Linked DNA regions of Stegostoma tigrinum. The protein of the gene in region 1 purifies or fractionates together with the protein of each later gene. This does not show direct contact. Links are inferred from orthologs where the notes say so. Each region holds a gene or a part of one and is shown in the gene's direction. Other genes may lie near its edges.

Evidence for each region.
Region 2: the proteins of uri1 (region 1) and polr3d purify together in Homo sapiens (affinity purification with mass spectrometry; 3 studies listed by BioGRID and IntAct, with this or other methods). This does not show direct contact. The link is inferred for Stegostoma tigrinum from reciprocal best matches to the Homo sapiens genes URI1 and POLR3D.
Region 3: the proteins of uri1 (region 1) and polr3e purify together in Homo sapiens (affinity purification with mass spectrometry; 4 studies listed by BioGRID and IntAct, with this or other methods). This does not show direct contact. The link is inferred for Stegostoma tigrinum from reciprocal best matches to the Homo sapiens genes URI1 and POLR3E.
Region 4: the proteins of uri1 (region 1) and polr2h purify together in Homo sapiens (affinity purification with mass spectrometry; 3 studies listed by BioGRID and IntAct, with this or other methods). This does not show direct contact. The link is inferred for Stegostoma tigrinum from reciprocal best matches to the Homo sapiens genes URI1 and POLR2H.

What each region holds. Positions count from the first base shown.
Region 1 is NC_081369.1:32,684,887-32,691,765, forward strand, and holds the start of uri1 (unconventional prefoldin RPB5 interactor 1), read left to right. Parts: upstream 1-3,878; 5' UTR 3,879-4,186; coding exon 4,187-4,282; intron 4,283-6,879. UniProt on the Homo sapiens protein: Involved in gene transcription regulation. Acts as a transcriptional repressor in concert with the corepressor UXT to regulate androgen receptor (AR) transcription.
Region 2 is NC_081393.1:16,509,171-16,516,392, reverse strand, and holds the start of polr3d (DNA-directed RNA polymerase III subunit RPC4), read left to right. Parts: upstream 1-4,203; 5' UTR 4,204-4,422; intron 4,423-7,222. UniProt on the Homo sapiens protein: DNA-dependent RNA polymerase catalyzes the transcription of DNA into RNA using the four ribonucleoside triphosphates as substrates.
Region 3 is NC_081376.1:34,159,494-34,167,449, forward strand, and holds the start of polr3e (DNA-directed RNA polymerase III subunit RPC5), read left to right. Parts: upstream 1-4,954; 5' UTR 4,955-5,065; intron 5,066-5,205; 5' UTR 5,206-5,303; exon of another isoform or gene 5,304-5,308; intron 5,309-7,956. UniProt on the Homo sapiens protein: DNA-dependent RNA polymerase catalyzes the transcription of DNA into RNA using the four ribonucleoside triphosphates as substrates.
Region 4 is NC_081367.1:41,069,234-41,076,383, reverse strand, and holds the start of polr2h (DNA-directed RNA polymerases I, II, and III subunit RPABC3), read left to right. Parts: upstream 1-4,144; 5' UTR 4,145-4,252; coding exon 4,253-4,325; intron 4,326-6,972; coding exon 6,973-7,056; intron 7,057-7,150. UniProt on the Homo sapiens protein: DNA-dependent RNA polymerase catalyzes the transcription of DNA into RNA using the four ribonucleoside triphosphates as substrates.

The sequences.
Region 1 (6,879 bases):
TATAGCTCAAACCCTTCAACTCTCTCAACATTCTTGTAAATCTTTCAAGTTTTGCAAAATCCTCTCCAATAGGTGGATATTAACCTAATGATGTGATATTGCCTGTCTTCCACAACAGGATGCACGTTAAGCACTGAGCCTGCTCTACCACTGACTACGATCATGGCTGACTGTGGATCTCAACTCCATCTTTTCAAAACAACGACTGAACACTTGTTAGGGTGAAGAATCTGATACATATTTACCAGAGAATAAAATTACCAAAATTGTTATCAGGGAACATCTGTTTATAAAATTAAAAGATTAAATATGTAAAAATAAAGGCATTGGTCCTGATGGGCTGAACGAATTTCTCAAATCCATGTTTTATGTTAATCTGTACCTTCAAAAGGATATTTCTCAAAGCGGGAAAAATAGGATACGATGTATGTTTAATTGTGAATACTTTTATATAAAGTGGAACTTAAAGAGGCAGAGAAACAAACAATAATTTTGATTCAGATGATCAAAACATTACTTCAAACAAAAATGGAATTTTAGACAAGATGTTAAATGCTGATCCATTTTAAAAATAGCACTTTTCTACAATGTTATTTTAGCAGTAACCAAAGACCTGTTACTCCACTATATTCAATAAGTTAACTTAATTTACTACATTTTGAATATAGCATGAATCCTGTTCGAAATGGATTTAATGGAAAACTCTTGAAGTCTTGAACTAATCTTCCCTGCATTTGTCTCAAATAAAATGTTGTGCATGATCAGTCTCTCACACAGTCATTTGTCTTCAATTGGATTATCTGTATACAAGTCATATCCAGGTAATATACTGTTTTTTCTAAGTAAGACATATGAAATTGCAGAAAGAAAGCAAAAGCAGTCTATCCAAGCTTGGATTAAAGTAACTATTAACTCTGCAAGTGCATATTTCATTCTTTTATTTTTGTGTTTCTGCTTCTCTTTACCTGTCATGCTAGTACAGACATGAAGGTTTTACTTTGTAAAATATTCACAATAAAATGGCTAACATATCATATGAGTTTGGCAACATCAACTCAAAGTAAAACTCAAAAAAACTTTAAGGTATGAACAGCCAGAGTTTCTTGTTGTAACAAGAGCTCAAGCAGAGGTGGCAACAGTGATGGGGGCACTGAGCAAGGAACTAAGCAGTTTTCAGAGACACCCGGCAGCAAGCAGTGACATTGAGACAGGCAGCTGGAGTAGATGAATAGAACTAGATAGACAAAGAAAGCATGTCTTAGGTAATGAGAGGGCTGATGAGAAAGAAGCCAGAAAAAGCAGTTCCTCAGCCTAATGTCATTCACACAGTCAATCCCCGGACACAGTATAAACAGTTGTTTGTTTATCTTTTATATCTCTTCCTGTTGTAAAGACATGATGCCACTGGAATCAAGAAGATAAAGAATAAATAAAGAAATGATTTTAATATCCCTGTTTCATGATTTTTGCGTTATTTGTGTTAGAACTTCATCTGACATTTTTGACACAGTCGGCAGGATTCTACTACACAGATATCAAGATACTGAGGAGCTGAGACTGAGAATGTCAGTGATGGAGGCTGAAGATGTTCCAGGGTCACACTGACCCTGATTCCTTAAGAAATTCACACTACAGTTCAGCAGAGTATCACTGATTGGTGAGGTCCAAACTAGGTCCAGACAGGTAGAACCAGGTGTGGTTTCACCTTTGCCATCTATCTCAAAAAAGGATCACCCACAGTTTCAACATCAGTAGACCGTACCAATACAGGAAGGCTCAGCACCCACCTAGAGGTCAGTAGTCCAGCAAATGACATGGAGGAAAGCAGATAACTTAATTGTGTTGCAGAACCTGAGGTGTCAGTGAGCATTGGTTCAAGTGAAAGTGGAGTTGGAGTGTTGCAGAACTGATGAAGGATCGCTGGACCCAAAACGTTAACTCTGTTTTCTACCTGCCAATGCTGCCAGAACTGCTGAGTTTTTCCAGCAATTTCTGGTTTTGTTTTTAAGATGAGACTGGTATCTCTGGCTGAACGGTAATGTGAAAAAAGCAAAGGAAAGGAAAATCAAGCATGTTATGAGCATCTGGATAGGCTCAGAGTAGACACCCTGATAACAAACAAAGAGTCCAAAAACAGTCCATTCCATGAACTAGGCATGTGTCCCTGAGCAAAGTGAACTTGCTGCAGCATTACAATGACAGGTGTTCGTGCAGACTAAGGTGCATTACTGAAATCCAGAAGAGTCCTGTAAATAGATCGAAATGTGCCATGGGGATCACAGATGATGTGGGGTGCATGTGGCCGGTACCCATGGTCTTTAACAGGATGTTGGTGCCTAGTATCCAACATGGAGGCTTTTTGGAGCAAATGGCGAGATGAACTCTCTCCAAAACACACTTGGCCTAAATAGTTTTTCCAAGTGAAGCAGCATTTCCTCCAGAGCTTCCCCCTATCGTGTGTATTGTATTCGCTGCACCTAGTGTGACCTATTCTACATTGGAGAAACCAAATGCAGACTGGGTAACCATTTTGCAGTACACCTCCAGTTCATGTGCAAGCATAACCCCAACCTGCCCGTAGCCAATCACTTTAACACAGCATCCTGCTTACACGTTCACTTGTTTGTCCTCTGCATGCTGTGGTGCTCCAGTGAACCACAGTGAAAACTGCAGGAGCAATATTTCACTTCTAACTAGGCACTTTACAACATTCTGGGCTCAATATTGAGTTCAACACCTTCAAATTGTGAGCCCATTCCTTCCCTCTCTCTCAGCTTTGCTTGTTACATGCTGTCATCCTGTCCTCTCTCCCCTTTCCCCACTCCAGTGGAGCAGTCTGTTCTTTCCAGTCTGGTACTTCGACATGCATTGTTCTGTCATTCTCACATTCCAACCACTTGATCTGAACAACTAGTATTTGTTCTTCCCCAGCACTGTAACCGCCCTATTACATAAATGCTGTCCTCTCCAAACTTCTTTTTAGCTCTGATGAAGAGTCATCGAGATTCAAAACATTAGCTTGCTTTTTCTCCATGAATGTTGCCTGTCACGCTGTGATCACTAGCATTTTTTGATTTTAGTTCTTCACACTGAAGCATCTCTGCAATATCCTCACTGTTCAGCCTCCCATCCTGCTTTGTACCATTTACAAAGTTGCAGATATTGCATTGAGTTACTTCATGTTGTGAGTAGCTGGGGTCCAAGCTCTGATCTCTGCAGTATCCCTCTATTCACTGGCTGTCATTCAGAAAATGACCCAATTATTCCTGCTCTTTGTTTCCAGTGTGTCACTTGATTCTCTATCCACCACCCTCAAACACAGTTCGAAGGCCTTGCTGAACGTCTCACCTGAATCGATCTACAAATTATCTTTCTATTGACCACGTTGCCCAGAGCTTGGTAAGGTTCAGTCCAAAGAGGTTGACTTAAGTTGAGAGTAATTCTCCAAGAACCAGCTGTATAAATTTCACAGCGTTTAACCTAGGTGCATCCATTCAAGAGTGAAGTCTTCATTCACTGAATACTTAAGCGGGTTCTTTCTGGAGATGTCACCAACCTCGGTAGCCATCTTAAACAACCTGAATTTTACCCATTTTTAAAATGAAAGACAATTCTAAAAAACTACGCATATGAACTTAATGTGAAGTCATAGGCAAAAGAAACCTTCAGTGTACGGAACAACGATAGTACGTTCATGGGGGACACACCTGTTTGACTCCCCTCACAACAAATCCTCATACCTGCTCATTGCACCTGCACTACTTCACGGCGCGTACACGCTGAAGATCTTGCGCACGCGCAGCTCCCTTCACGGTGTCAAGTGCTCATTAGTGACGTTTCCAGTTGCGGCCCGGGCCTAATGTCACGTGCCCAGTCAGCCCCGCCTCCTGTGTCAGGTGCGTGCTCCGGACCGTCCCGAAGCAAGATGGCGTGGGGCGGCGGGTCTTGCTAACACCGAGCGGCGTCGTCGAGAAAAAGAAAGCTGCGCTTCGAGCTTCTTGGGTGAATGATGCGAGTGTGAAATGTTTTCCGCTCCGACAGTGTGGATGACAAGACCTGCTCTCTCTATGCGGACGCGGAGTGAGGAGTTGTGCAGCTGTAGTTATCACATGCATAAACATTTCTTTAGGACTCCCAGTTCCTGAGTGTTTGTCAAACACACGCTCGGCCTCCGGCTCAGGAGGAAATGGCAGACTCGCAGCATCGGCCTTGTGCCGCCGCCGGCAAACCGCCCCAGTCCCAGCCACTGACTCTTTCACGGCTCCGAGAAGAGCATGGAAAGGTAAAGGCCGTAAATAAGCGGCGGCGGCGGCCATTGTATTAAAATCAGGCGGAAGGACGAGGAGAAAGAGCCTCGGATGCAGCGGGTTTTTTTTCGGGCACCGGCCTGTGGGCCCCGGTTTTGGTTTGGTAGGGGCCCGCCCTGTTTTGGTTAAAATGTCACCGCCCCCTCTGCCCAGATCCGCTGTTACCTTATTTACTGGTGGCTCAGACAGAACCCCGCTGCCCGGTCGAGCGGAATCTGGGCTGGGTTGTGATTCAGATCGGCCTCTTTTTGTTTGCACTGATTGGTCCGGCTCAGAAATCTCCTGTCAGCGAAGCGTGTGCATTTTTATAAGAGAGAAAAATACATTTGCTGTACGTAACGTGAATTAGAGTTTTAAACTCAATGCAGTGGAAACAGGAAGTCACCTTTTTGCCTTTGCGTGTAATGTCATGATACTCCCATCTTTCTGGGAGTTTCATTTCATTTTTCCCGTGAGATGAGCAGAATGATTATTTTTTAAAAAGGTGACAATGTTTAGATGTTAGATAACAAGGTGTAGAGCTGGATGGACACAGCAGGCTAAGCAGCATCAGAAGAGCAGGAAAGCTGACGTTTTGGGCCTGGACGCTGAAGAATGGTCCAGACTGGAATTGTCAGCTTTCCTCCTCTGCTGCTTGGCCTCCTGTGTTCATCCAGCTCTGCACCTTGTTATTTCAGATTCTCCAGCATTGGCAGTTCCAACTATCTCTGTTTAGATGATAGACCTCGCTTTCTGATGTTTTGAATCTCAAGATTTAGTGTGTATCTGACAAGGTAGATGCTGAGGTTTCCCCAAGATGCAGAATTGAGGAGAGTAGTATCACAATAAGCAATCAATAATCAAAACTGAAATCAGGAAGAATTTTCTCATGCACTGGATTGTGACTCTTTGCAATTTTCTGCTCTCTATCATGCGGTAGGGTCACTTGACTGTTCAATGTTACATTTCATGGGAATGAGAGGATATGGAAATCAGGTAGGAGATTTGAGGTGAAATCTAAAACCAACTGCAACTGAATGGTGGAGAAGCTCATTGGCCATATATTTTCGTTTGTTTTTATAATGTCAGTGTGACATTGTGACAGTTCTGACTGTCACCTTTTCATCTGACTCAGTTTTCTATAATGTTTATAGTTCCCTCTAATTCTTATTTTTCTAACTTTCTCTGTTTTCTACTTGAATTTTCCTAATAAAACCTAGTCCATAGGCTCATGTCCAAGCATGCTTTCAATTATCATCTTTCTTTCTGTAATAATTTATCTACAGACCGGACAGTGACTGTCGGCTGGAAGGTATTACCAGTACCTATTTGTCTTCTGACATGCTCACATTCAGCAGTAGGCACTCGATAATAGCCAGGAGCTCTGAGTCAGTAGACCTTGTGCTTCATACCCCATAATGGCAGTGAAGCCAACAAGAGTACACCTTCCTGAACAGTATCCCTGAACCTATTTATCCCCCTATCTGTGTAGCTGGTATCTGGACAAACTCTCTTTGAACTATTGGGGAAACTTTGTTTAGTTATTTGACTAGTTAGTACAGTAATTCAAAACTAACTTCACTTTGTGTTGCTGTGACAAAGTTTCATAACAGGAGCTCAATTGCAATAATTTCAAAATGTAGAAATAACTGCTTGATAATATATTAGGTGCTTTAATAGGAGTAATTTCATGTCTTACTGTTCTAATGTATTTTGTCAAATGTTCAAGTGAGTTTAGTGATGAGTGATATCAGGTGATGTAAAAGGAAGAGACGGTAGGAACTGCACATGCTGGAGAATCTGAGATAACAAGGTGTAGAGCTGGATGAACGTAGCAGGCGAAGCAGCACCAGAGGAGCAGGAAAGCTGACGTTTTGGGGTCTAGGCCTGAAATGTCAGTCAGCTTTCCTGCTCCTCTGCTTGGCCTGCTGTGTTCATCCAGCTCTACGCCTTATCTATGTAAAAGGGAGAACTGACTTCAAGTTTTTGAGACAAACTAACATCGGAGGGTTGGTGTGCAAAATGAAAATTACACCTAAATGAATACTTGTATTAAGAGTTTACAGCATTTTTTATGCATATCAAAGTTTTAGCAAATATCCATGCTTGAATCATAAGCTACGAGGATTGTTATGGAACCATGTTTTAAATGAGTGTAAAATGAAGGATGTGTAACCCACTTAACAGCAGGCTAGGAGTATTTCAAGATCTCTTGGAGACGCACATATTGACACAGGAATGATGTCAGGTGTTCACACTTGAAAACAATGGTAATAGTCTCTGAGATCACAAATAGGGTCTCTCGATGGCTGAGAAATATGTTGTAAGTATTAGGTTGTCAACTTTTGTGCTGACAACCGTCAGATTACTTGTAAGATTGAAAATAATTTGGATCAAAATATCTAAGTATTTCTACTTCTGTGAAATACATGCTTCTTCCATTGTCGATAAGTCAGAGCAAAAATAGACTTTTCAGCCCACGGAGTCTGTTCTGCCATTTCATCATGACTGATTTTCTCAGCCCATTCTCTTGCTTTTTTTCCTTGACCCACTTACCAGTCAAGAATCCATCTATCTCAATCTTAAATATGCT
Region 2 (7,222 bases), on another chromosome or scaffold:
TTAAGCAAAATTCATATAAGAATTAAAATTAATAATTGATCCTGTATCCACTGCCACTTGAAAAGAGTTGAAAACATCTACACCTTTTGAGTGTAGTAGTACTTCCTAACATCACTCCTACATTTAGCCCTAATTCCCAGGCCATGCCCCCTAGGTCTAGAATCCCCAACCAGTGGAAATAGTTTATCTTTATCTACCCTTTCTTTTCTTTGTATTATCTTGAAGCCTTTGATCAGGTCATCCCTTAATCTTCTGAATTCAACAGAAAACAGGCCTAATTTGTATAATGTCTCTTCATAACTTAACTCTGAAGACCAGGTATCATTCTTGTAAATCTACATTTTACCCCCTTTCAGGTTAATATATTCTTTCTCAGATGCCCACAGCAGGTCTTACCAGAGTTTTGTACATCCATAGCAAAACTTCTGCATCCTTGAACTCCAGTCCTCTAGATATAAAGGCCAGGATTCCATTAGGTTCCTTGATTATTTTCTGTGCCTGCTCATGACATTTTAAAGATGTTTGCAACTGAACCCCAAGTCTCTTTGGACAAACACTGTATTTAAGCATCCAGAAAGTACCCTGATTTGTCCTTGTCCAGACCAGAATTACCTTAGTTACCTCTGCAATTTCCCCAACACAGATGTTAGGCTAACTGGTCTGTAATTCCTTGGTTTTTGTCTTTTGCCCTTCTTAAAAAGCAGTGTGACATATTCAACTTTCCAATCCAGAGGGATGAGTCCTGTATCTAGAGAACTCTGAAAGATTATAGTTAGGACATCTACAATGGACTCTCCTATCTGCTTTAACACCCTTAGATAGAAACCGTCAGGTCCTGGGAGTTTATAAGTCTTTAATTCCATTAATTTCCTCAATGATTTACATACATTAATTTTATTCAGTCCCTGTTCCCAATCCACATTTAATTTTCTCAGACTTATGGCAAGCTGTTCTCTTTTTTAATCATAAAAACTCAGGTAAAGCAATTGTTCAACATGTCTGCCAATTCCTAGTGGTCATTGACAATATTCCCACTTTCGGTGAGGTTGCAGGCTTGCTCTCCAAGCCAGCATGTTTGATTGCAGATGTTTCGTCACTCTGCTAGGGGACAATGTCAGTGCGCTGACAGTGAAGCGTTGGTGTTCTGACCCATTTGTTATTTATATGCTTTGGTTTAGTAGGGTGGTGGTATGACTTCCAGTTTTGTTCTTCATTGGTTTGTATATCGGGTCCAGTTCACTGTGTTTGTTGACGGAGTTCCGGTTGGATTGCCAGGCCTCTAGGAATTCCCTGGCATGTCTCTACTTGGTTCGTGCTATTATGGATGTGTTGTCCCTGTCGAATCTGTGCCCTTCTTTTTCCATGTGCATTGAGACCAGTGAGAATTGGTCATGTCTCTTGGTGGCTACTTGGCATTCATGTATTCTTATTGCCAGTTTTCTTCCAATTTGGCCTATGTAATGTTTCTCACACATGGTATTTTGTATATTACATTTGTTGTATTGTTTGTGGGAATGGGGTCCTTTACATTCGTCAGTTGCTGTTGCAGGGTGGTTATTGGGTTGTGATCTACCCTGATACTTAGGGGCCTGAGTTGTCTTGTGGTCATCACTGATATGTTCCTAATGTATGGTTGGGTGACTAGTGTGTCTGGCCGTGTTGTGTCTTTCTGTTGTGGCCTGTCAGAGATAATGCCGCAATGTGCTATTCGAGTATGTACAATCCGAGCTACAAATCTCAAAAACCTTCCCACTTTCAGTCTTTAGTGGGTCAAAATTGTTGCCGACTACCCAATTTCCCTTTATGTAACTATAATGTTTCCTCTTTTTGATTTTGATATCCCTGGCAAGTTTTCTTTCACAGTTCCTTTTACTTGCTTGTATAAGTTGCTTTGTGGTCTTTTGCTGATCTTTGTATCTTTCCCATTCACCGGGATCTATGTTTCTTTTTGCATTTTTGTAAGCTCTTGATTTCAGTTTTATGTCTCTTGACCACTTTTATGTGAAGTGGAGCTTTTCCTCTTTGAGACATAGAGTCCGATAGCATGGAGACAGGCCCTTCGGCCCAAACTGGTCCATGCCAACCAAAATGTCCTACCACACTAACCCCATTTCCCTGCACTTGCCTCTGTCCTTCCAAACCTTTCCTATCCATGTATTCATCCAAATGCCTTTAAATGTTGTTAATGTACCCGCCTCAACCATTTCCCCTGGCAACTCATTCCATATGCGTACCATACTCTGTGTAAAAATATTGCTCCTCAGGTTCCCATGTATTCTTGCCCCCTTGCCTGAAACTGGTGCCATCTTGTCCTTAATTCCCCAAATTAGGGAAAAAGACTGATTGCATTCACCCCATCAATGCCTCTCATGATCTTATAGACTTATATAAGTTAGCCCCTCAGTCTTCTACGCTCTAATGTAAACAGTCCTAGCTTGTCCAGCCTCTGCCTATAACTCAGTCCTATAGCTGAGTCCTGTCAATATCCTTGTAAATTTCTTCTGCAATCTTTCCAGTTTAATAACATCCTTACTATAACAAGGTGATCAAAACTGAACACAATATTTCAAGTGCAGCCTCATCAACATCCTGTACAACTGCAACATAACTTCCCAACATCTATACTCAGTGCCCTCACTGATGAAGGCCAGTGTTCCAAAAGCCTTTCTCACTGCCCTGTCTACCTGTGACTCCACTTTCAGAGAACCGTGCACCTGAACTCCCAAGTCCCTCTGTTCCACTACACTCCATTCACCATGAAACTCCGGCATTGACGTTCCAAAATGCAACACCTCACACTTATCTGTTTTAAATTCCATTTGCCATTTCTGAGCCCAGTTCCCCAGCTGATCAAAATCCTGCTGTAATTTCTGATAACTTTCCTCACTGTCCACGATATCTTCGTGTCATCCCCAAACTTACTATTCTCAATCAAATCATTGATACAGATAACAAATAGCAATGGTCCCAGCACTGGCCCCTGAGGCACACCACTAGCCACCAGTCCGACAAGCATCCTTTCACTATTACTCTCTCTAGTTCTTATCAACAAGCTGACTGTGTATCCAATTTGCCAGATCTCCCTGGGTTCCATGCAACCTAATCTTCCAGAGCAGACGGTATAAACTGATTTTGTATTAAATGTTTCTTTAAACATCCTCCACTGCTCTTTAGTTGTTTTACTCGTGAGCAGATTTGCCTAGTTTACTGTGGATAGTCTCTGTGTCATGTCATTCAAGTCAGTCTTACCTAAATGTAAAACTCTTCATGCTGCTCATAAAGCTGCCTCTGTTTTATGCTTTCAAATGCTGCATCGAATTCAATCATGTTATGATCAGTATTTGATAAACGGTTGTGCACAATTAGGTAACTAACTAAATCTGATTCATTACTCATGAATAAATCAAATTTTGTTTGTCCCCTTGTTGCATTCAGAACCAAATGCTGTAGGAAACTGTCCCAGATGCACTCTGGAAATTCACTACCTGTGTGACGGTGCTTGTCTGCCTCTCCCAATCAATATTAAAGTTAAACTTCCCCCATTAATGCTATTCTGGATTAGCGGACCCTTGCCTTAATTTATGCTGAAATTTCGCAGTTGTGGCAGTATCTGAGGGGAGAGTCATCGAATCCCTACATTGATGAAGTAGGCCATTTGGCCCATCGAGTCCACATTGATCCTCCCACCCAGACACACCACCCTACCCTGTCGTAGCAAGCCTGTACTTCCAATGCCTGATCCACCTAGCCTGCACATCCCTGGGCACTACGGACAAATTAGTCACTGGACTCGACACGTTAACTCAACTTGTTCCCCACTTTTTAAAAAATCAGATCTCCAGCGTCCGCAGTCCTTTGTTTTAATTTTAGTGCCTAATTTCTGTATTTATAAAATCAAGCTGCTCTAGGGGTTCTGTACACATTTACTACTGATGCATTACATGAAAATGGCATCAGATCAGTGGAATGCTGACAGCTGAGCCCCAAAACAAAACTGTTGACGCACTTCCAATGGATGCTACATATTTTTACCCAGTAATACTCCCTATTGTCACTCGCTTTCCGTTGGAGCTCCTTTGCAACAAGATCAATGCAGAGCTACAATTTTCATTCAGTTTCTTCACTTTCCCACCGAACGAACCGGCAACATTGCCTTCAGCGCCGCCCCGCTGCCAGGCGCCATCTTGTTGCGGGGCAAAATGCCGGCCACCTGACCCCCTAGGGCGCAGGCGGAGAGCTGGATTTGCCCCGTACAAACATGGCGGCTCACAGCGGCCTCGCTCGGACGTGAAACGGCTGGAGGACCGAGACGGGAAAAAGAAACAAGAGTAAAGAGGCGGTAATCGGCCTTTGGGGAGAACTCGAGAGCAGTGTGGGCTCGCGGCCGTGCTGCCAGGTTCGAGGATTACAGGCCTTCATCAGGTAACAAAGTGAGAAGCTGGATGAGCACAGGAGGCCAAGCAGCATCTCAGGAGCAGGAAGGCTGACGTTTCGGGCCTAGACCCTTCATCAGATAATTGCTGCCCAGTGATCCAGGAAGCTGTAAGGCCTGAGAGTGCCTAAGGGTAGGGGACGAGGGGTAGGAGCTGGGAAAATGGGAGAGGGGCAAGGTTGGGGAGGGGAAGAACGGGGGAAGAGGAGGAGCGGGGAAAGGAGAAAGGGAGGAGGGGGGTGAGGTGAGGACAGGGAAGAGGGAGGAGCTGGGGGGGCGAGGTTGGGAAGTGGGGGGTGGCGAGGTTGGGAAGTCGGAGGAGAGGGGGAGGGGCAACTGGGGAGAACGGGGAAGTGGGAGGAGCTGGGGAAGTGGGGGGGTAAGGTTGGGGAGGGGAGGAGGTGGGGAAGGGGGCAAATGGGGGAAGAAAGAGGAGCTGGGGAAGTGGGAGGGGGCAAGCGGGGGAAAGAGGGAGGGGCTGGGGAAGTGGGGGGGGCAAGCGGGGGAAAGAGGGTGGGGCTGGGGAAGTGGGGGGGGCAAGCGGGGGAAAGAGGGAGGGGCTGGGGAAGTAGGGGGGGCAAGCGGGGGAAAGAGGGAGGGGCTGGGGAAGTGGGGGGGGCAAGCGGGGGAAAGAGGGAGGGGCTGGGGAAGTGGGAGGGGGCAAGCGGGGGAAAGAGGGAGGGGCTGGGGAAGAGGGAGGGGCTGGGGAAGTGGGTGGGGGCAAGCGGGGGGAAGAGGGAGGGGCTGGGGAAGTGGGTGGGGGCAAGCGGGGGGAAGAGGGAGGAGCTGGGGAAGTGGGAGGGGGCAAGCGGGGGGAAGAGGGAGGGGCTGGGGAAGTGGGTGGGGGCAAGTGGGGGGAAGAGGGAGGAGCTGGGTAAGTGGGAGGGGGCAAGCGGGGGGGAAGAGGGAGGAGCTGGGTAAGTGGGAGGGGGCAAGCGGGGGAAGAGGGAGGAGCTGGGTAAGTGGGAGGGGGGAAGTGGGAGGGGGCAAGTGGGGGAAGAGGGAGGAGCGGGGAAGTGGGAGGAAGTGGGAGGGGGCAAGCGGGGGGAAGAGGGAGGAGCTGGGTAAGTGGGAGGGGGGAAGTGGGAGGGGGCAAGTGGGGGAAGAGGGAGGAGCGGGGAAGTGGGAGGGGGCAAGCGGGGGGAAGAGGGAGGAGCTGGGGAAGTGGGAGGGGGCAAGTGGGAGGGGGCAAGTGGGGGGAAGAGGGAGGAGCGGGGAAGTGGGAGGGGGCAAGCGGGGGGAAGAGGGAGGAGCGGGGCAAGCGGGGGGAAGAGGGAGGAGCTGGGTAAGTGGGAGGAGGCAAGCAGGGGGAAGAGGGAGGAGCTGGGGAAGTGGGAGGAGGCAAGCAGGGGTAAGAGGGAGGAGCTGGGGAAGTGGGAGGGGGCAAGTGGGGGAAGAGGGAGGAGCTGGGGAAGTGGGAGGGGGCAAGTGGGGGGAAGAGGGAGGAGCTGGGGAAGTGGGAGGGGGCAAGTGGGGGGAAGAGGGAGGGGCTGGGCAAGTGGGAGGGGGCAAGCGGGGGGCAGAGGAGGAGGGGGGTGAGGGGAAAGGGGCAAGCGGGGAGAACGGAGAAAGAGGGAGGAGCTGGGGAAGTGGGAGGGGGGTAAGGTTGGGAAGGGGGCAAGGGGTAGGATGGGGGAAGAGGGAGGTGCTGGGGAAGGGGGAGGTGGGTAAGGATGGGAAGGGGGAGGGGGAGGGGGAAAGGTTGGCAAGGGGCAGGTGGGAGGGGATATTGGCAGGGCAGTGGAGATGCAGGGAGGGGGATTGGCTGGAGGGGAGCTGGGGAGCAAGGAGAGATGGGGGACTGTGGGAGGGCGGAAGGGAAGAGGAGGTGGGGGAAGGGGGAGACAGGGAAGGAAGGACGGATTGGGGAGGGAAAGGAAGGGGTTTAGGAAGGAGTAGTGAGAGGAGAGAAAGCAGCTGGGGAAGAGGTGGGGAAGGGAAGTTAAGGGGAGCTATAGGATGTTGGGTGGAAAGGAGGAGGGAGGGGACAGTTGTTAGGAGTGTTGGGGGATGGCGGAAATTGGGATGGGGAAGACCATTTGGAGGGGCTGGGGAGTTGAAGCTTCACAAAGACTGGTCTTATCACGAAATCCTCTTTGATGTTGGAAAGCATCCAGCTACGCAAAACATTTACATCCGAGCCTAATTTTACCTCCCTCCCCTTTTAGTTCTGCCAAGGTCGTCCCTAGTTTTTGATTGTGGTTGGGGTGTAAATCCAGTCGGATGCTTTGTCTTAGACGGGTTCAGTTTCTCGAGTGTTGTGTATAAATGTTTACCCCAAGTGTCTCAAAATATTGAATCAAGTAAACAAAACAAAAGTTGTTTGGAGCTGTGTACTGTAAGATTCAGTGAGACAGCACAACTGAAAGACTGGCTGAAGCTACATGGCAGCTATTGCCTTGCTGTTGGAAGCTGGAGTCTCAGCAGATGTAAGAAAAAGGCAATCCCCTGAATATGTCGATTGAAAATATTTGCCTCAGAATGGCAGCACCACAGTCTGCTTCTTGTAGCACTCTGTTCCTGGCTGCTTGCGTTACATCACTTTGTGCTTCTGCAAAGAGTTGGCATCGATTTGATGGGCCAAATGCAGTGTTTCTGTGAGCCACTCTGTATTCCACAGTGGCTTTTGATCTGCTGTTTTATGATGTCCATGGCAGAAGCTTGATCCTGGCTGTATTCATCACAGCAGCATTTTGGTTCTTTGACCAGCTTGGAGCAACCTCTGCAGAGGTTGCCAAATTTGTGATAATACATATGCCCACGGTTATGGTAAAGCTTGGAGATTCTCCT
Region 3 (7,956 bases), on another chromosome or scaffold:
CGTAGTGGTAGTATGGCGCACTGACCTCTACATCGCTGAGGCCAAACGCCAAATCTCCGACACCTCTTCATATTGCCCCCTTGACCATGACCCCACCCCCGAGCATCAAACCATCATCTCCAACACCATCCATGACCTCATCACCTCAGGGGACCTCCCATCCACAGCCTCCAACCTTATTGTTCCCCAACCCCGCACGGCCCATTTCTATCTCCTTCCCAAAATCCACAAACCTGCCTGCCCTGATCGACCCATTGTCTCAGCCTGTTCCTGCCGCAACGAACTCATCTCCACCTATCTGGACTCCATTTTCTACCCTTTGATCCAGGATCTCCCGAATTACGTCTGTAACACCACCCACGCCCTCCACCTCCTCCAGAATTACCAATTCCCTGGCCCCCAACACTTCATTTTCACCATGGACGTCCAGTCCCTATACACCTGTATTCCTAATGCAGATGGCCTCAAGGCCCTCCGCTTCTTCCTGTCCCACAGGCCCGACCAGTCCCCCTCCACCGACACCCTCATCCGCCTAGCTGAACACGTCCTCACCCTCAAGAACTTCCCTTTCGATTCCTCCCACTTCCTACAGACAAGGGGGGTGGCCATGGGTACCCGCGTGGCCAAGCTATGCCTGCCTCTTTGTAGGTTACGTGGAACAGTCCCTCTTCCGCACCTACACAGGCCCCAAATCTCACCTCTTCCTCCGTTACATTGATGACTGTATCGGCGCCGTCTCTTGGTCCCCAGAGGAACTCGAACAGTTCATCCACTTCACCAACACCTTCCACCCCAACCTCAAGTTCACCTGGGCCATCTCCAACACATCCCTCACCTTCCCAGACCTCCCGGTCTCCATCTCAGGTAACCAGCTAGAAACTGATGTCCATTTCAAGCCCACTGACTAGCTAGAATACACCTCCTCCCGCCCACCCTCCCGCAAAAATTCCATTCCCTATTCCCAATTCCTCTGCATCTGCTCCCAGGATGAGGCATTCCACTCCTGCACATCCCAGATGTCCAAGTTCTTGAAGGACCGCAACTTTCCCCTTGCAGTGGTCGAGAACACATTTGACCGCGTCTCCCGCAACACATCCCTCACACCCCGCCCCCGCCACAACCACCCCAAGAGGATCCCCCTCATTCTCACACACCACCCCACCAACCTCCAAATACAACGCATCATCCTCCGACACTTCCGCCATCTACTATCCGACCCCACCACCCAAGCCATTTTTCCATCCCCACCCCTGTCTGCTTTCTGGAGAGAGTACTCGCTCCGTGACTCCCTTGTCCGCTCCACACTCCCCTCCAACCCCACCACACCCGGCACCTTACCCTGCAACCACAGGAAATGCTACACTTGCCCCCACATCTCCTCCCTCACCCCCATCCCAGGCCCCAAGATGACTTTCCACCTCAAGCGGATGTTCACCTGCACATCTGCCAATGTGGTATACTGTATCCACGGTACCCCGTGCAGCTTCCTCTATATTGGGGAAACCAAGCAGAGGCAGAACGCCTCCGCTCGGTTCGCAATAAACAACTGCACCTCCCAGTCGCAAACCATTTCCACTCCCCCTCCCATTCTCTAGATGACATGTCCATCATGGGCCTCCTGCACTGCCACAATGATGCCACCCGAAGGTTGCAGGAACAGCAACTCATATTCCGCCTGGGAACCCTGCAGCCTAATGGTATCAATGTGGACTTCACAAGCTTCAAAATCTCCCCTTCCCCCACTGCATCCCTAAACCAGCCCAGTTCGTCCCCTCCCCCCACCGCATCCCAAAACCAGCCCAGCTCTTCCCCTTCCCCCACTGCATCCCAAAACCAGTCCAACCTGTCTCTGCCTCCCTAACCGGTTCTTCCTCTCACCCATCCCTTCCTCCCACCCCAAGCTGCACCCCCATCTTCTACCTACTAACCTCCTCCCACCTCCTTGACCAGTCCGTCTTCCCTGGACTGACCTATCCCCTCCCTACCTCCCCACCTATACTCTCTCCACCTATCTTCTTTACTCTCCATCTTCGGTCCGCCTCCCCCTCTCTCCCTATTTATTCCAGTTCCCTCCCCCCATCCCCCTCTCTGATGAAGGGTCTAGGCCCGAAACGTCAGCTTTTGTGCTCCTGAGATGCTGCTGGGCCTGCTGTGTTCGTCCAGCCTCACATTTCTTTACAATGGTGCACTGGGTCCTCCTGGCGCCCAGATGACTGCTTTACGTCTGCTCCGCGATCCCCTTTGGCCGCCCGGAGACAGTATTAGGTAGGCACTGGAGCCCCTTACGGCCGGAGGACCATATTACACGTACACATGAACTCAACACACCCCCAACCAAGATCACAAAGTGTGTAGCTGTATGAACACAGCAGGCCAAGCAGCATCTCAGGAGCACAAAAGCTGACATTTCGGGCCTAGACCCTTCATCAGAGAGGGGGATGGGGAGAGGGAACTGGAATAAATAGGGAGAGAGGGGGAGGTGGACCGAAGATGGAGAGAAAAGAAGATAGGTGGAGAGAGTGTAGGTGGGGAGGTAGGGAGGGGATAAGTCAGTCCAGGGAAGACGGACAGGTCAAGGAGGTGGGATGAGGTTAGTAGGTAGATGGGGGTGCGGCTTGGGGTGGGAGGAAGGGATGGATGAGAGGAAGAACAGGTTAGGGAGGCAGAGACTGATACCATTGTAACGAGGTCCTCCGGCTGTCGTATGGGTTGGTGCTCCTGAGTGAACTGACCTCCGGCCGCCAGGGGACCTAGCATACTCATGAAACGCGGCCTCAAGGCCCTCCGCTTCTTCCTGTCCCGCAGGCCCGACCAGGCCCCCTCCACCGGCACTCTCATCCGCCTAACTGAACTCGTCCTCACACTCAACAACTTCTCTTTTGACTCCTCCCACTTCCTACAGACTAAGGGGGTGGCCATGGGCACCCGCATGGGCCCCAGCTATGCCTGCCTCTTTGTAGGTTACGTGGAACAGTCCCTCTTCCGCACCTACACAGGCCCCAAACCCCACCTCTTCCTCCGGTACATTGATGACTGTATCGGCGCTGCCTCTTGCTCCCCAGAGGAGCTCGAACAGTTCATCCACTTCACCAACACCTTCCACCCCAACCTTCAGTTCACCTGGGCCATCTCCAGCACATCCCTCACCTTCCTGGACCTCTCAGTCTCCATCTCAGGCAACCAGCTTGTAACTGATGTCCATTTCAAGCCCACCGACTCCCACAGCTACCTAGAATACACCTCCTCCCACCCACCCTCCTGCAAAAATTCCATCCCCTATTCCCAATTCCTCCGCCTCCGCCGCATCTGCTCCCACGATAAGACATTCCACTCCCGCACATCCCAGATGTCCAAGTTCTTTAAGGACCGCAACTTTCCCCCCACGGTGATTGAGAACGCCCTTGACCGCGTCTCCCGCATTTCCCGCGACACATCCCTCACACCCCGCCCCCGCCACAACCGCCCCAAGAGGATCCCCCTCGTTCTCACACACCACCCTACCAACCTCCGGATACAACGCATTATCCTCCGACACTTCCGCCATTTACAATCCGACCCCACCACCCAAGACATTTTTCCATCCCCTCCCCTGTCTGCTTTCCGGAGAGACCACTCTCTCCGTGACTCCCTTGTTCGCTCCACACTGCCCTCCAACCCCACCACACCCGGCACCTTCCCCTGCAACCGCAGGAAATGCTACACTTGTCCCCACACCTCCTCCCTCACCCCCATCCCAGGCCCCAAGATGACATTCCACATTAAGCAGAGGTTCACCTGCACATCTGCCAATGTGGTATACTGCATCCACTGTACCCGGTGCGGCTTCCTCTACATTGGGGAAACCAAGCGGAGGCTTGGGGACCGCTTTGCAGAACACCTCCGCTCAGTTCGCAACAAACAACTGCACCTCCCAGTCGCCAACCATTTCCACTCCCCCTCCCATTCTCTTGATGACATGTCCATCATGGGCCTCCTGCTCTGCCACAATAATGCCACCCGAAGGTTGCAGGAACAGCAACTCATATTCCGCCTGGGAACCCTGCAGCCATATGGTATCAATGTGGACTTCACCAGCTTCAAAATCTCCCCTTCCCCTACTGCATCCCTAAACCAGCCCAGTGCATCCCCTCCCCCCACTGCACCACACAACCAGCCCAGCTCTTCCCCCCCACCCACTGCATCCCAAAACCAGTCCAACCTGTCTCTGCCTCCCTAACCGGTTCTTCCTCTCACCCATCCCTTCCTCCCACCCCAAGCCGCACCTCCAGCTACCTACTAACCTCATCCCACCTCCTTGACCTGTCCGTCTTCCCTGGACTGACCTATCCCCTCCCTACCTCCCCACCTGTACTCTCCTCTCCACCTATCTTCTTTACTCTCCATCTTCGGTCCGCCTCCCCCTCTCTCCCTATTTATTCCAGTTCCCTCTCCCCACTCCCCTCTCTGATGAAGGGTCTAGGCCCGAAACGTCAGCTTTTGTGCTCCTGAGATGCTGCTTGGCCTGCTGTGTTCATCCAGCCTCACATTTTATTATCATGAAACGCGGATCAGGTGGACCCAGTGTACCCATGTAATGCAGTCCTCCGGCCGTCAGGGAGACACAGTGTACCGATGTTACGCGGTCCTCCGGCCGTCAGGGGGACCCAGCGTACCAATGGAACGCGGTCCTCCGGCCGTCAGGGGGACCCAGCGTACCCATGGAACGCGATCCTCCGGCCGTCAGGGGGACCCAGCGTACCAATGGAACGCGGTCCTCCGGCCGTCAGGGGGACCCAGCGAACCCATGGAACGCGGTCCTCCGGCCGTCAGGGGGACCCAGCGTACCCATGGAACGCGGTCCTCCGGCCGTCAGGGGGACCCAGCGTACCCATGGAACGCGGTCCTCCGGCCGTCAGGGGGACCCAGCGTACCCATGGAACGCGGTCCTCCGGCCGTCAGGGGGACCCAGCGTACCCATGGAACGCGGTCTGAGGATATGAGTGACCCACGTGTCGGCTCCATGGTTGCTGGTAGTTTCATCCATTTCGCCGGCACCGCCTGAGGGAACGGGCGGCTGGGGACAGTGGTGAGTACTCGGGTTAGGATTGTGGGTTTGGCCGGGCCCCAGTTGGCATTAAGTCAGCGGCCTCGGCCTGAAGTTTAGGCGGTTCCCCTGTGATGAATCGGCTTCTGACCTGCCTCTGTTTCTCCCTGTCTCCTGTACAGGCCGGCTCCTGGGACCTCCATCCCCCAATGAGGCCGCTCCATCCCCGTGGTGTTAGTGGTCGGCGAGGTCAGGAGTGCCGCCCGGGTACCTGCATCAGGTGAGGTAACTGCTGGCCTGTCAGGATGGGAGGGAGCGGCTTCCGGCACCTCTGGCTTTAGCTGCAGTAGCTTCTTCCCCTTTCATTGCATCAGGTAGGGCTGGGTGTAGAGTGGGACTGTGCAGCCTGTGAGGAAAGTCGCAACCTCAGCGAGATGAGGATAGAAACCTCACAGTGCTCCAAAGCCGATGAGTTAAATAAGTGTGGTCACCATGGTAATGTAGGAAACTCACTAGTTAGCAAGCGCACAGCAAGATCCCATAGCCAACCGTAATACGGTAATTGCCCGATGTTCTGTTCTATTGATTTTGATTGAAAGGTAAATGTTGTCCAAGATACCAGGGACGACGCCTTCCATTCTTTTCCTCAAATAGATCTTTTGAAAGGTAGTCCCTCAGTCTCCTCCAACAGTGCAGTACCACCTCAATATTGAACCTCCTGTAATGCAGTGTTCCTCCAGTACTGTTCTTTGGCATTTGCAGCACTCGGGTTGTCATTTACCTTTTTTTTACTCAGGCCTCTGGAGTGAGTTCCTGACTCAGGCAAGACTGCAGCCCCAAACTCTAAAGTAATGTACAGTGTGCCAGTAGCTCCCTGATCGGTTGTTAACTAAATGAGGATGAGAAAACTTTCCTTTTCTGCGATCTTCAATTACATTGTCATTTGCTGTCCTGTTTTCACATGGGTCATTCATTGCAATTTACAATCATTGTACTTTTTGCATAATGTTTATCAATTGTAAACATACCATAACTCTTTGAGCAGTTTATGTAAGTGCATCTATTACAATACTCTTGGTCTTGTTGAGCTACTAAATAATATTTACAGAGCCTCAGGTAAGGAAAACATCAACATTATTTAATAATCATCTTGCTATGGCTTCATCTTGGTCCTGAGGCTGCAGTGGAGACTAAGACCATGTGACATTGCATCACTTTTATTAGCATATCACATTCAGACATAATTTATCATTCTATACTCCACCCAGTTTCTGATTTGACTGATCATGTTCCTATTCGCTCCCCAAGTGTCTGACTTCGCTGCTTTGGTTGGTAAATGAAATCTGCCATTTGTACCTCATAGTGTCATAGAAATGTTTAGCAAGGAAACTCATCCGTGCTGACAAGATATCTTAAATTAATCTAACCCTGTTTGTCAGCTTTTGGCCCATATCCCCCTCAAACCCTTCCTATTCATATACCCATCCAGATGCCTTTTAAATGTTGTAATTGTACCAGCCTTTTCCACTTTCTCTGGCGGTTCATTCCATCCACACACCACCCTCAGCATGAAAATGCTGCTCCTTGGGTCCCTTTTTAATTCTCTCCGCTCTCACCTTAAACCTGTGCCCTCTAGTTTTGGACTCCACCACCCCAGGGAAAAGACCTTGTTTATTTACCTCATGCGTGCCCCTCATGATTTTATAAACCTCTGAGATCACCTCCCAGCCTCTCATCATCTAGTGAAAATAGTCCCAATCCATTCAGCCTCTCTTTATAGCTCAATTCATCCAAACTGACAGCATCCTTGTAAATCTTATCTGAATTCTTTCAAGCTTCACAATATCCTTCTCATAGCAGGGAGACCAGAATCACATGGAGTATTCCAAAAGTGGCCGAACCTATGTCCTGTACAGCCACAACATGACCTCCAACTCCTATACACAATGCACTGTCCAATAAGGGCAAGCTTACCAAACACTCCTTTCACTATCCTATCTACATTCAAATCTATTTCCAAGGACTATGAACCTGCACTGTGAAGAAAAGCAGTGGAACCAGCAGCGATACTTCTTGCACACCACTGGTCACAGGCCTCCAGTCTGAAAAGCAACCCTCCACCTTCATCGTCTGTCTTCTACTTTCTAGCCAATTCTGTATCCAAATGACTAGTTCTCCCTGTATTCCATGTGATCTAACCTTGCTATCACATGAGGAACCTTGTCAAATGCCTTTCCTAAATCCATATGGATCACATCCACCACTGCCGTCATCAGTCCTCTTCGTTACTACTTCAAAAAACTCAATTAAGTCATTGAGACACAATTTCTCTCTCACAAAGCCATGTTGACAATCGCTAATCAGTCCTTATTTTTCGAAATACATGTAAATCCTGTCCCTCGGAATTCCCTCCAACATCCAATGTCAGGCTCACCAGTCTGCAGTTCCCTGCTTTTTCCTTTACCACCTTTCTTAAATAGTGGCACCACATTAACCAACCGCCAGTCTTCCGGCACCTCCCCTGTGGCTATCGATGGTACACATATCTGAGCAAGGGGCCCAGCAATCACTTCCCTCGCCCTTCACAGAGTTCTAGTGTACACCTGATCAGGTCCCGGGGATTTAATCTACCTTTTACCTGGTCTGGTCTGAGGGTGGCACGGTGGCTCGGTGGTTAGCACTGCAGCCTTACTGTGCCAGTGACCCAGGTTCAGCTCCAGCCTTTGGCAACTGTCTGGCCTTTGCACATTCTTCCTGTGGCTGCAGCTGTCACCTTCCTGTGGGATGTGCCACTTTCTTCCTGCAGTCCAAAGATGTGCAGATTAGGTGGATGGGCATGCTAAATTCCCCTTAGTGTGCATAGATGTGTAGATTAGGTGGATTAACCATGAGAGATGTCGGGTTACGGGACTAGGGTAGAGGGGTGGGATGCT
Region 4 (7,150 bases), on another chromosome or scaffold:
GAAAAAATAAAGAATTTACAGAGGGATACTGATAGGATAGGAGAATGGTCAGAATCTAGCAGATAGAGTTCAATGTAGATAAATGCAAGGGTGTCCAAGTGGCCCGACAAATAAGAGGGCAAATTATTATTTAATTGGGAAGCACATCCAAAGTGCATCAGTGCAGCGGCATCTGAGTGTGCTTCTGCATGAATCACAGAAAGTGGGTATGCAGGTGCAGCATATAACAAGAAAAGCAAATGGAATCCCAGCATTTGCTGCAGGAGGACTAGATTATAAAAGTAAAGAAGTGCTGTTACAATTATATGAGGTGTTAGTGAGAACACATTTGGAGTGTTGTGTCCAGCTTTGGTCTTCTTGCTCAAGAAAGAATGTAGTGGCACTGGAGACAGTTCAGAAGAGGTTCACCAAGTTGACTCCAGGGATGAAAGGGCTGTCATACAAGGAGTGGTTGAATAGCTGCGGCTTCTTCTCACTGGAGTTCAAAAGAATGAGGTGGGATTTGACTGAGGTATATAAAATGCTAAAGCGGACTAATAAGGTGGACGTTGGATGTATGTTCCTTCTTGTGGGACAGTCTCGAACAATAGGTCATAGATATAGCATGGGAGCAGGTAAGTTCAAAATTGAGATGGGGGAAACTACTTCTCTCATAGGGTTGTGATTCTGTGAAACTCATTGCTCCAGATTGCAGTGAAGGCAGAATCAATTAACAAATTCAAGAAAAAAATAGTACTGTTTGTGATGAAAAGCGGGAGAAAGGGAACTGTGAAGCAGGCAGGAAAGCGGCATTGAGACCAGGATAAGATCAGCCATGATCATTTTAAATGGTGGAGCAGGCCTGAAGGGCTGAATTGCCTACTCATACTCCTAACTCCTATGTTCCCCTCTCTGATGCTGAATGAACTGTGCTTAGCAAGGGACGTAACCAGCTTAATGAATTTCAGGCACAACATGGTGCTAAACTCTTCTTTTGTTGTCTTTGTCTCTGTGCCCATGACCCTGGACAGGAATCCTCTCCCAGCCACAAAGGCTGTTTCCCCTATCTCCAATGCATCCCCTCCACCTGGACTCCTCTGTCTGGTCTTTTGCAAGCTCTTCATTTCTTCATTGAGAACTGCTGGTGTGACACTGGCCACCTTAATTTCTCTAATCCCTTCACCCACTCACATCTATCTCCCTCTGAACTTGCTGAACTCCGTTCTCTCAGGTCTTGTTATCAAAACTATCAATAACGGTTGAGTGGCTGTCATCTGCCATGCTAACTAGTACCTGGCAGAGTGCCAACTCTCAGACACTTCCTCCTATCTCCCCCTGGATCATGACCTGACATTGATCATTGAACATCGGGCTGTAGTCTCCAGGACTATCACTGACCTCATCTCCTTCAGAGATCTCTCCTTCACAGCTCCCAATTCATAGGCCCCCAGCCACGTATAACCCGCTTTTCAAAATCCACAATCAGGACTGCCGAGGCAGGCCCATCATTTTAGCCTGTTCTTACTCCACTGAACTTATTTCTTCTTATTTTGACTCTATTTTTACCCTTCCTTGTTAAGTGTCTTTCAACTTCCATTCATGATTCCTCTGATGCTTTATGTTGGTTCTATAATGATGGTCCTAGCCACCTCTTCTTCACCATGGGCATTAAAGGCCTTAGCAAAGCCATCCCCCATCAGGATGGTCTGAAGGCTCTCCATTTTCTCCCTTGAAAAGAAGCTAATACCATCATACTTCACCTGGCTGAGCTTGTTCTCACTTTGAACAACGTTTCCTTTAACTCATCTGATTTACTGCAAGTCAAAGGTGAAGCTCATTGATACTTGCACGGGCCTCGGATTTGGCCATCTCTCTAATGTAGTGTTTGGAATCATTCCTTTTTCCAGTTGTACTCAGGCTCCCACTCACAATTCTATCTCTGATGTATTGATGATGCCTTTGGTGTTGCTTCCTGCTCTTGTCCAGAATTAGGACAATTCATCAGTTTTATTTATAGTTCTGAAGAAGAGGCATAGCCAGGCTCAAAATACTAACTCTGCTTCTGCCCACAGATGCTGATAGTCCAGCTGAGTTTCTCCTGCATTTTCTGTGTTTATTTCAGATTTCCTTAATCCACAGTATTTTACTTTTATTGTTACTTTGTTAAGGCTGATGCAAGAGAAATACCTCTTGCAGTATCCCACAAAGACAGGATGTTTTTCTTGCTGTAGGAGAGACAGAGCATGGGTTGGCACTGATGCCTGGAAACGTAGTAGCAGCTGCATCTTGGCTGACACCAAGCACCCTTGTGTTGCATTTTGGGTCCGCTGGCACAATTCTCAGCCTGATAACTGGTAGAATGACATTAACAAGATTGTACAACACCTCAGAATCAGACTCGGGACAGGTTAGAAGCTACCAAATTTTGTAACCTAAGAGAGCCTTCTGAGCAAAAACCTTGGCGTTCATCAAGGTAAAATGCTGAAAGTTTGCTGACTGCCTCCTATTGGAGGAACTATTCAAGTGCTGCATTGACTCTCAAAGTTCCAGCATTAACCATTAACTGGATGTGAGTTTGCTCGCTGAGCTGGAAGGTTAGTTTTCAGACGTTTCGTCACCATTCTAGGTAACATCATCAGTGAGCCTCCGACGAAGCGCTGGTGTTATGTCCCGCTTTCTATTTATCTGGTTAGGTTTCCTTGGGTTGGGATTAAATCTACCATCCCCTGAGAAAAAGAACAGGAAATGACATCACCAACCCAAGGAAACCTAACCAGATAAATAGAAAGCGGGACATAACACCAGCGCTTCGTCGGAGGCTCACTGATGATGTTACCTAGAATGGTGACGAAACGTCTGAAAACTAACCTTCCAGCTCAGCGAGCAAACTCACATCCAGAACCTCAACCTGAGCTACAAATCTTCTCAAAACTCGTTAACCATTAACTATATGAAGTTGGTACTAAGCATTATAGCAGAGTTGGAGACAATTCCCACAAAAACCTGTAATCAAGCACTTTCATACTCCAAAAACTTTGCTTGAGGCTTTCAACTTTCATATAGTTGCCACCTCTTCAACTGTCAATGACACCTTTCACCACAGTCTCTAGGAGAAGTGGTGTATTTTCCACTTGCTCAGAACTTCCTCAATTCTTAGATATGGATTTCAGTGCTGGAGCTTTCACTAAGCTTTCAGTTGGTAATCACTTATCCCAGTGGAATGTGTCTGTACTGACACCCAAAACAGGAAAGGCAAGCTCTGATTCTGTTTAGGCAAAGCCTGAAGCTGGACAGCTGAAATTTTTCACCAGGAAAGACTTGAGGAGCAATGGCAACAGTTTTTCCACTGACTCTTCAATTTGACAGCTCAATGTGGTGAAGCTGGCAAGGAAACCAGTTATATTCATCATCTTATTACTCCATAGGATGTGAAGAATGCTGTCAAGGCCAGCATTTATGGCCTGGCTATTTGTCTGAGAGCAGTCTGTGTGTCGTCAGCACACCCACAGTACAGAAGTTCTTGGATATTGTCCCAGCCACAGTGAAGAAACATGACATATTTCCTCGTTCGGATGGCGTGACTTGGAAGGGAAATTGTAGATTGTGATGTTCTCATATGTGCCTGTTGACTTTGTCCTGCTGGGTCACAGGGAGAAGTTTTGGTCCAAAAAAACTTGGCAAGATGCAGCAGTACATCTTGTAGACGGCATATACTGCTTTTATTGCGTGTTGGTGGAATGAGTGAATGTTGCAGGCGGTGGACAAATGTGGGTGGATGCTGCTTCCAGGAAGAATGCTGAGCCCAGCCTTGGTTACTAGCAAGTGTGGACTTGGTCTTGAAGGCCGCACGAAGAGACAGCCCGTTAATGCTATTTCTGAATCCATAGCTGGCTAACAGACCCAGAGAAGTCCCAAACAATTTATAAGTTTCAGATTTACAGTGCCTGTCGTATTTTTCATATGTTTCCATCAACGTTTAAGAAACTGTTCAAAATATAAAGACCTAAAAGAACTAAGCTTGTTTATTTACGTTTAGGAGAAAGAACCTTTCAGTAAACCCCATGTACTGAAACACAAAGCAATGCCTTGATTAAAGATGGCGGAACTGCGGTCATATACTCACATAGAGCTGCTGCCAATCTACTGGGAGGCAGGGAAGGTCTGCCAGTATCCCGGCATACTCCGAGAGATTTGTCGTGGCCTGTTTGGCAGTAGTTTGAAATTCTCTTGCTTGTGTTTGCTAGAAGTTAACAGTAATTTTATTTGTACAAGGATGGCAGGAATTTTATTTGAGGATATCTTTGATGTGAAGGATATTGACCCGGAAGGTGTAAAGTTTGACAGAGGTAAGGGAAAGAGATGAGACCTGCTGCCTTTGCTTCCTGGGTGTTCGAGTTCCCCAAATGAATGGGTTCAGGCAGTTCATGTCCAACATAGGGAAGGGAATAGAGTGATTCAGCTTTCGTCCTCCACTTCTAACTAGCATTTTTTACAGTCTTCCAGTGCTTCGTTTAATACTAGTATCTAGTTCATTGATTTACTCCTACGACCAATTCCTGTGATGTTGTATATGTGTTTTCCTGCAATTGTGGAAAGTTGCAAAAGCCCCATTTCGGACCGAGCAAACCCAAACTGCTTCCATAGCAGGCAATAATTCAGATCATATTTACACCTCCTGTTCTTATCCTTACATTTTTTTTAATTAAACCTAATTTTCTAATCAAGCTGTTCAGGGATGTTATTACACCGACCGTTTTATTCACTGTTCTACTTTCACTATTCAGTCTCAACACGCATGTGGCCCTTCCCCAACCATGAATGTGGCTGGAATTGAATTCCCACAGCCTCGAAACAAATAAAAAAAAAACTTCTTTTGCATTTGGATTCCAATAATATTCCTCATGAAGAATAGTCTTTATTAATTAGGTTGTTTCTACTTACTGTAATTCAGCTTCTGCTGTAGAAAATAGACACAGGACAGGTACCGTTCCATTAAATTGGTGGAAAAAGCTTCAAAAAACATGCTTCACTCTTTAATAATTTTAAATTAATATTGTATTGCATCAAATATGTGTCCTATCAAGCCAGTATCCAATTTTTAAACCTTTGTATTTTCTCATGGGCATTAATGACTTGTTATCACTTATATACAATTGACATTAGTACCTATTGCTTTATTTACAATATATCTTGTATGGAAAAACTTAAATTTCCATTATAATTTGCTTTTACTGATGTGCTGCTTTTAATTAGCTGTGGAGCCATAATACTCTTACATCTTTCTGCACTTCCTCAACAACAAAACAACTTCTGTTTGAAAAATAATTTTGTTTTTTAACTAGAATGCATCACTTCATGCTTTGCGATTATCTGCCTAAATTCATCTGCATTTTAAATTCTTATTCATAACTTTGTTACCTTAGAATTTGATTAGTGAGAAGGCTTCCTATTTGACTTCCCATATTCTGTCCTCTGTGAACTTGAAATCACTTCTATTGCTTGTGGCCTAACTTGCACAGAATTCTTTTTTTCATATCATTCTTGTCCTCACTGACCTACTTTGTTTGCTGTTTCAGCAATGCCTTGATTTTAAAATTCACATCCTTCTTTTCAGATCCTTAGCCTACTCATCCTGAACACTGTAATTTTAACCCTTTGAGATGCCTGCATTTCTTCATTTCTGGCCTTTTGAGCTTCCCTGATTTTAGAACATAAGACAAAGGAGTGGAAGTAAGGCCATTCGGCCCATCAAGTCCACTCCGCCATTTAAATCATGGCTGATGGGCATTTCAACTCCACTTCCCTGCACTCTCCCCATAGCCCTTGATTCCTTTTGAGGTCAAGAATTTGTCGATCTCTGCCTTGAAGGCATCCAACGTCCCGACCTCCACTGCACTCTGCGGCAATGAATTTCACAAGCCCAACACTCTCTGGCTGAAGAAGTGTCGTCTCATTTCAGTTTTAATTTTACACCCTCTAATTCTAAGGCTGTGCCCACGGGTCCTAGTCTCCCCGCCTAACGGAAACAACTTCCAAGCGTCCACCCCTTCTAAACCAAATATTATCTTGTAATTACTTCATTTGTGGTTGCGCCTTACGTTTTGCTCAAGAGTTCTCTTTCTAAATCTCCCTCTGTCTTCTAGCTCTCATTTATCCTTTAGGATGCTTCCAAAACATGACTCTGACCAATCTTTTGATTGTCCAACTTACTGTCTTCTGATGTGGCCGGTGCCAAATTTTGTTAATGCTGGTATGCTTTCCCAAATTAACAATGTTGTTTAAATGCATGTTGTTGTGTTCTACCTGCCAATTTTTCATACATTCTCCAATTTAACAACATTGCATAATATGTTCCTTTTAGTCTGTTTAATTCAAAATAGGATTTTTTTCAATGTGCAAATGTGACACTGCTTTCTCTATTCCTACATCCAGTTCATCGATAAATGCAGTGAAGATAAGTGCATCCACAGTTGTACTATGAAAAATACCACTAAGCCTTTACCAGAATGATCCAAACTTCCCCAACTCCTACAGTTCTCCTTTTGACCAATTTTTTTTTATCTTCTCCCCTCATTCAAAGCTCGGTTATCTCCTTTAATATTCTTTCACGTGACATCTTGTCAAATACTCCTTGAAGTCTTTGTACACTGCACTAAATATACTGCACCTCCATGTTTGCTTCCATGCTAAGTAATAATGCATAACAATTTTAAAATATGATGAACAAAATATACTCTTGCCTAAATTTGGCTTTTCTGCTTGAATTAATTTGTTGCCCTTTGGGCTGGTGTGAATCTTGTGTATTTTTAATGAGGGAGAATATACTATAATACAAAAAAAATTAATTGACAATAAATATGCAATCTTAACAAGATATTACTCTTACAAAAAGATAGTGTTTGATTGTGAATGATAGTTCTGATAAACTGATCAGTAAAAGCAATATTTAGATACCTTTGGGCATATAATAGAACTTCTGTGTCATTTTTACAGTTTCTCGCTTACATTGTGAAAGTGAATCCTTTAAAATGGACCTGATTCTTGATGTAAATATACAGATTTACCCTGTTGAACTTGGTAAGAATTACAATTAATACACATTTTTGTAGTTACTCTGTAATAAACTTCAGATTCAGTTACAATCCAGCTGAATCAACATTGCTATAATGCT